2 linked regions of the Arabidopsis thaliana genome follow. The protein of the gene in region 2 interacts with the protein of the main gene of each other region in a pairwise test. Each region holds a gene or a part of one and is shown on either strand. Other genes may lie near its edges.

Region 1 (4,115 bases), on a different chromosome or scaffold from region 2:
ACTCCTTAAATTACTCGTTGATTATCTAAGATAATAAAAGCATAAGACTCGCTCTACATTTACAAAATAGTTTTCCAATATATATAACTTATAAAATTTATATATTTGTCCATATATTAAAATACAATTTTTAGTGCTTTTTGTGGCGAATCCTTATTTACTCTCAACCATTTTTATTTTTTCCTTTCTAATTCTACCATTGCTCTTGCCAAACGCTTTCATTCTTTTATCTTTATAATTATTAATTATAATATCCTTATAATATTGTAAAAAATTTAATAAGCTATGATATATATATATAGTAAAAATAAAATAACTGGTTTGGTTTCAGTTTGGTCCTATCGAGTTCGGATTAAGACTTTGATAATCTATAAATACTTGAGTTGACTTATAATTATCATGATAAAGTTGAGCGGTGGTAGTTCAAAGAATTTTTAGTCTCAATCCATATAAGAAAGGATAGGAACAGAATGCATTGATCCATTAAAGGAATGTCAAAAAATTTCAATATCACTACATTTAAGGAATGTCAAACTTCTTCTAACTACTTTTTTAACTACCAAAATCTGAACAATTATCAGTTTCAAAATCAATCTCCTAACAATCCCCAATTTATGAAGGCTTATAGCAAAAATAAAGACTTGTTTTAATTAATTTGGACACAAAAACCCCATCTTTTTAAATTAAACTTTTGCTATCATCCTTCATAAACTCTTGTTTATTTTTTATCCGTCTTTTTAGTGAAATAGATCATAATAATATCATTTTAACTCCCAAAATTTTTCTAATTACCTTTTTAACTACCCAACATCAATCTCCTAACCATCAACATAATATAACAAATTATGGTTATCCACCAAATTTCTTTATATCGTCAACTGTTCCAAACTATCCTTCATATTTTAAAATATTTAATTTTTACTTATTTTAATTTTATTTGATATTAATTGTAATTAATTAATCACAAAAAACATAAACATAATTAAAATAAAAAATATAAAATAATGGTAGGGTAATGTGTTGTAATTTTATTAAACAAAACTATTGTAGTAAGTAAAAATTATGTAGGTATTGAATTATAATGTGGAGTGTTGAAAAGAGAAAAGTGGACATTGTAACCATGTAACTAATGTAGATAGTCTAACAGGTACACTAGTTGTACATGTTATTTTATCAACAATAGTTCTCTTCCTACTAATTAGAACAATTCAAGTCTAGTATCCATATATTATAATATAACATCTTACTAGTGCATGGGTTATTCAAAGATTCAATGATCATACAAAACATAAATCTACAAACTAAAATTCCCAAATAAAAATCATAAATCAAAGCCATCTCATTGAAGTTTCAGCTTTAACAAACACAAAATTAGCATAAAAACGATCAAAGAAAAAAACCTAAAAATCAAAACTTCAACTTCCAATATCTCTATTCCAATATCTTTCCTTCGATTTTTCTGTATGTCTTCCAAATTCTTTTTGTTTCCCTAATTGCTCAAGAAGTAATATCTTCGTCATTCTGTTTTTATTCAAGGTACATAGAAAGATTGATCCTAGACTACATCAAATTGGGTGTAGTCAGTGATATAGCTTCCCCGAAGTTAGCGGTTTTCGAAATCTTTTTGAAGCGGTTTCATATGATCGACCCAGAAGATTTTGGTACTACGACGTGACGAGTGGTTTTCAGAAGAACACATCTTCTACACGTGTCTTTAGGCTAAATTATACGTGCAAATATTTTTGCTAACTTCATTATGATTTAGTTATTTGACCGTTAATTTCCGCTTGTATTCCTCTTTGAGCTTGACCATTCTGTTTTTTATCTGCTTTTGGTTTTTAAATGAAATCGTTTGGTCCGTCCACAAAAAAAAAACAGTACCTATCCTCTAAGCCCGGCCCATCCCGGCCCATCCCGGCCCATCCCGGCCCATCCCGGCCCATACCGGCCCATATTTTAGTAATTATGGTTCCTATCTTCGTCTTCTTCGTTCAGAAATGGGAAGCGAGAACCATAGATTTACGTCAAGATAGCTTTTTTTCTATCAAGAATCGCAAAGCTATTTCGCGTAACATTACAATCGTCGTTCAGAAGAAACGAATTGGGTTTGACAAAGCTTCGATATTCAGGGAGATTTCTGGGTTAATTTGTGAAAGAATCAGAGAAATTTAGAGTTTTTTTTTTGGGGGTAAATTTGAGATGAAGCCACACGAAGATTGGGTTTATGAATCATGGACAGTAGATTGTGTTTGTGGTGTGAATTTTGATGATGGTAAAGAGATGGTTGATTGTGATGAATGTGGTGTTTGGGTTCATACATGGTGTTCTCGTTATGTTAAAGGTGATGATTTGTTTGTTTGCCACAAGTGTAAGATAAAAAACAATGAAGATGAATTGTCCAAGTTATCGGTTACTAAATCGTTGAGAATGGAGAATTTATGTACGCAGAGTAGTGAGAGTGTTGTATTGAAGGCTTGTTCAGAGATACCAATTGAAGAAAGGGTTCATGTACAAGGAGTTCCTGGTGGTGATTTGGGTTTGTTTGAATGTGTTTCTTCGGTTTTTAGTCGGCAGTTATGGAAGTGTAGTGGTTATGTGCCTAAGAAGTTTAGGTTTCAGTGTAGGGAGTTTCCTTGTTGGGATGAGAAGGAGAATGTGTGTGATGTTGTTGGGGATGAAGATGATAGTAATCTTGCTGGTGTTTTGTTGTCTATGTCGAAAGAAAACGGTGTGGATGGTAAGGGAGACAATGCTAGGAATTGTGGTTCTAGAGAAATTGAGAGTGATGTAGAGAAAGAGAAGAGCTTGCTTTGTGATCCTTTGAGTATATATAAGAGGAGAAACGAGTCGGTGGGTGGTTTTGAAGATGGGGTAAAGAAGAAGGTTAAAGTTGCTGATAAAGAGGAAGAATAATGATGTAAGAAGGCTTTGATTTGGATACAGAAGAGGCATTATGTGTTACACAACCAACATTTCTTATTTTAATAGATTTCTTACACAAGAATGGTAAGGTTTATAACTTTGTCACTAGTTTAGATTCTTAACCTTATATTCAGATATAACCACAATGGTTCATGGTTTCATTTGTCTTTGCAATCAACTAACAGTTGTAGGATACTTAACATCCACATAATATGCAATAAAAAGTGTAAATTCTTTCCATTGATGATAAACTCGATTGCTTGGTTTATAAGTTTGTGTAGGTCAAATTAGGAGCAAGAAAGGCTTGTTTTATCTTGATGATTAACTCAATCTTAGTCATTCATGTGAGCGGTTCGCAGTTTCAGGATTAGTAGGCGCTCAAAATCTTGAAGGCTTCGCGGACTCTCCTCGCCCTCCGTCCTTCCATAGATGAAGTTGAATTCTCTGACAATTCTCACCATGAACAATTTTAGGTGATTTCAAATAGATAAGAAAGCTCTTGTTGGAAGGCAGTGCACTAAAGGGTCCTGATATCCTACTTGTATTCCAAAAAACTCTTCTCTTGAATATGAAAGGCTGCAAAGCGTTGGTGCGACTTCCAAATTGTTTCCGGAACTTACGGAGTATATGCAGAATTTTGTGCTTTATGGAACAAGAATAAACTTGAAATGCCAAAGTTATTGCATTGCATTGAGTCTGTTTTATGCTTAAGTGCAACTGTGCAAGCTAACATCAGCCATCTGATATGGCTTTACTTCAAGAATCGCTAGAAGCTCAAATCTTAAGTGCCACATGGTTTATGTTTGATGTTTTGTGTCGCTTGGTAGGCACATATTTAGTGGCCATTGTTGTAGGATCCAAATCGCTAAGTAAAAGAAAAGTCTCAATTCTATATGAAACTCATGTAAATCCATTAAAACTCATTGGAGAAAAGCCCTTAATTATCCATATAAGCCCGTAACGAGAGAGTAAACCTAAAATTTCGTTAGACAAAAAGAAAACCCTAGCCGATTAATATCCTTATAAATAGATAGGTAGTCTCCTTAATTTTCTCCTTAGTCAAAATCTTAGAGAGAGTCCGAGGAAACCCTAGCCACCGTCGTTGCCGTAACTCGTTCGCCTGAGGATAATGATCAATTGGGTTTATGCTAGAGTTAAATCGGGTCTTGAAAAGAGAAGGAAGTTGCATGCGA
Region 2 (4,199 bases):
GTTGATTAATTATTAAACAGCTCGAAGTTTTAAGACTATGTAGCTTAGCCTATGTCAATGTCATCAATCTATATGCAATATATATAGAGCCTCAGGCACATAAACCGTAGTCCCCATATAAAAAAGGGAATGAAACAGCTAATAACTCCATAGAGAATAAATTCACATTCAAAGCAAATTCACCACCCCAATCTTCTCAATGGTTCGGTTTCTTTTTTCAATTCTTACATTGTACTAAAAGCTAAAAATTCAGACTGATACGATACGAATAGGTTTTTGAAAATATAAAAATTAATCAATTTCCATTAAAGGGCTGAATAGCTAAAAACTCCATAGAGAACAAGTCGCTTTATTGGATTTAGATTTTAAAAAGACGGCGCTCGTGAATTATTAAAGTTTAAACTAAGATAAGATTTAAAGAGATTTAGAGGAGACGTAATCTGGTGTATATCGTTCACATAGAGTCACGTCACTGTATAATCCATCGACCACTAAGGTTTTAGAGTTTAGTTTCAAATCTTACTTTTTCATGCAGGTGTACCGTATGTCACACAGATTATAGTAGTCGCCAACTTACGTTCCCAATGGGTGATAACGGCGTCAACGTCCTCCGTCACGATCGTGTCGTAAGCTGTACACTGTATAGGTTCCGTGAACCTTAAAATCGGATTTGGAAAGCTACGTACGTACGTAAATATTGGTTAAAAAGTTCAAACAGTTTTGATCTCTCTTTTATTACAAACAAACTGTACTTCCGACAATTTTCTTTCTTTCTATTTCAAGTACGTTTTCGTGTCTAACTATATTAACATCTAACTTCTGACTTTTATACTCTGATGGGACAATCTTTAATTCTTAAATTCTAAGTTGTACCATGCGAATGGATATTAGATTTTGTCAGTACAATTGCTGACTATGAATGAAGTACTCTAACATCATTATTGGTTCCTGAATAATGAGTACTTAAACAAAACAAATTTGAAGTAACGTAACCATGACATATTAGATCCATGTCCCCTAAAACGTATTAAAATTATTTCCTTACGTCGTTAAATTTCGAATCTAGTGTTAAATTGTTACATTGGTTGTTAAACTACCGACCCAATAAAAAAAAAGAAACTAATATTTATGATTGGTGCATCTTGTTGTAAATTGTAATCGTATGGCCTACCAGCGATTTCATTGTCCCCAACATACAGATATTTTTGTTCGTGTGTTATAAATTAGGGTAGAAACATCACATATTTTACAGAGACAAAGAAAAAAACAAGAATCGTAATAAAATGATATTATGGATACATGTAGATTATAAGATGAGAAATAATAATTTGTCACGGGTCCATCAGTATACTCGTCAAAATTGATTAGGTAGGTAATTTACTTCACATGCTCTTCCTGTATACAAGTATAAAGTATGTATTTTCATCTAAAATCTACTCTTTTCTCAATTACATTTTATATAGAAAAATTCATATTCTTAAGAAATAGTAGTAAAATTGTTCTTGAAAAAAAATATGAAAAGGCATTTTCCGTGACTCAGCCTCACAGGCGGCTTAAAACGACGTCTTTTTCAATTTTAATAAATTTTTGGTAAAAAAGCTTTTGGATCCGCCGCTATCTTCAGCAATTAAAGTTGGACGCAGAAACTCAGAAGCAAAAAGACGATAAATATTCATCATCACCTTCATCTCTCTCTTCCTCTCATCAGACTTCACCGTTCTTCTTTCTCTCTTCTTCATCTTCAGACGAAACCTCCTTTACTTCCCCTTCAAGGTTTTATATTTCCCAAATCCTACACCTGCTCACATCTCAAGCTCAAGTTTTGTTTTCCCGGGAAAAGTGACACAAACAAGAACTTAACAAGGGAGAAGAAAAAGCTTATATTCATATCAACGGTTGACGTTGGAAAGCTATTAAGATTTGGTTTTCTACAAATTTGTTCTTCCTGAAACGTCACGAGACAGAGCTTACAAGAAGAGAAAACAGAGGAAATTTCGTTGCATTTTTTTTACATATTGATTCGATTAATGGATTCAAATAATCATCTCTACGACCCGAATCCCACCGGGTCGGGTCTTCTTCGTTTTAGATCAGCTCCGAGCTCTGTTCTCGCCGCTTTTGTTGACGACGACAAGATTGGTTTCGACTCCGATAGGTTGCTTTCAAGATTCGTGACCTCTAATGGCGTTAACGGAGATCTGGGTTCACCTAAATTCGAGGATAAGTCTCCGGTTTCGTTAACGAACACCTCTGTTTCATACGCCGCCACTCTGCCGCCACCGCCGCAGCTTGAGCCGTCGAGTTTTCTGGGTTTGCCGCCGCATTACCCGAGGCAGAGTAAAGGGATAATGAACTCGGTTGGTTTGGATCAGTTTCTCGGTATCAATAATCATCACACCAAACCAGTTGAATCTAATCTTCTCCGTCAAAGCAGCTCTCCAGCCGGAATGTTTACTAATCTCTCTGACCAAAACGGTACCGTTTTGCTCTCTGCTACAAAGTTTTTCCCCCTTTTTTTAGTCTGAAATATTTTTTTCATTTATAACAGAAGTGTTTTTGGTACTTCTTGATTCAACTTTTTTGAATGTTTTAACACTTGCTTCAAGATTTTTGAATGTTTTACGTTCCTTGAGAATAATTTTAAGACAAGATCTGATTTGATTTTGTCAACCATAGAGTTAAAGCACTTTGGACTCAACAAATCTAATAAGTGTTTACTATATACTTACAAATTTGCAGGTTATGGTTCAATGAGGAATTTGATGAATTACGAAGAAGATGAAGAGAGTCCATCTAATTCCAATGGATTAAGACGCCATTGCAGTCTCTCTTCAAGGCCACCTTCTTCACTTGGAATGCTTTCTCAAATACCTGAAATCGCACCCGAAACTAATTTTCCATATAGCCATTGGAATGATCCATCCAGCTTTATTGATAACTTATCCTCACTTAAAAGAGAAGCCGAGGACGATGGAAAATTGTTTCTCGGAGCTCAGGTAACTCGGTTATCTAACCGGTTTGTTTTGGTTATTGATCAGTAGCTGAAAGTGGAGTTGATTTCTTGGAGTGGTTTCTAATGATGTTTTTGATGGGTTTCTACAGAACGGAGAGTCCGGGAATCGTATGCAGTTACTGTCGCATCATTTGAGCCTACCAAAGTCATCATCGACAGCCTCGGACATGGTTTCAGTGGATAAGTATCTTCAGCTACAAGATTCTGTTCCTTGTAAAATCAGAGCCAAACGTGGTTGCGCTACACATCCTCGAAGCATCGCTGAACGGGTAACTTCACCTAGTTAAGGCCATCTTTACATATATCAATGGAAGTCCATTTGAAGCAGAATCTAGTTTGTTTTCAGAAAGCCTTTCCTAAGAAATCTTGTCAATTGTGTCAGGTAAGAAGAACGCGGATAAGCGAGCGAATGAGGAAGTTACAAGAGCTTGTTCCTAACATGGACAAGGTACAGTTTTCAGGAACTTCCTTGTAATGACTTTTGATCATAAACAAATTGTTAAATGATGTTGTTTTCTTTATGTTTTAACAGCAAACCAACACTTCGGATATGTTGGATTTAGCTGTGGATTACATCAAAGATTTACAAAGACAGTATAAGGTAAAGTTCCTGATCATTGTGGAAAAAAAACAAAGGGGCCTGTTTAGTCTTCTGTTGAATTGATTTAGTCTTCTGTTGGTTTTACACAGATTTTAAACGACAACAGAGCTAACTGTAAGTGTATGAACAAGGAGAAGAAGTCAATATAGGGCGCAACAAAGTGTGTAGTAGATAGGACTAAAAAGCAGGGAGAAGGACAAGAAAGAAACAATGTCATGTCTGAATATTTTTTAGCCGAAACAGACCAAATTGTCTATGTAAGCTCTCGAGAAAAGCATCTGCTTCCAACAAAATTCTAAGTAATAAAATAGTACTCGATTTGTTCTTATTTCATTATTACAATGCAGAATCTACTAATCAAATGTTGTACTACAAAAGGTAAGATCAACTACGGTAGCTAAATGCGAAAATTATGACCAGAAGAACAAAGAAAGACTCGAAAACTAAGCAGAAAACATAAATTATTCTTCCATGTGATCTGCAGCGTCAGAATCTTTGATATCACCAGTAAGACTACTCCTGGTCACAACCAAAGTAAGAATCACACATGAAGTAGAGTGTATACGACTTCTCTCCTGGTTCAGT

The links. The genes of interacting proteins can lie anywhere in the genome.
Region 1: the proteins of FBH4 (region 2) and AT4G10600 interact in a two-hybrid assay, tested with the Arabidopsis thaliana proteins (one large-scale study listed by BioGRID).

What each region holds. Positions count from the first base shown.
Region 1 is NC_003075.7:6,546,732-6,550,846, reverse strand, and holds AT4G10600 (RING/FYVE/PHD zinc finger superfamily protein), read left to right. Parts: upstream 1-1,968; 5' UTR 1,969-2,199; coding exon 2,200-2,913; 3' UTR 2,914-3,006; exon of another isoform or gene 3,007-3,178; intron 3,179-3,281; 3' UTR 3,282-3,612; downstream 3,613-4,115.
Region 2 is NC_003071.7:17,610,992-17,615,190, reverse strand, and holds FBH4 (basic helix-loop-helix (bHLH) DNA-binding superfamily protein), read left to right. Parts: upstream 1-1,599; 5' UTR 1,600-2,027; coding exon 2,028-2,475; intron 2,476-2,739; coding exon 2,740-2,996; intron 2,997-3,102; coding exon 3,103-3,282; coding exon of another isoform or gene 3,283-3,300; exon of another isoform or gene 3,301-3,395; coding exon 3,396-3,461; intron 3,462-3,545; coding exon 3,546-3,677; downstream 3,678-4,199.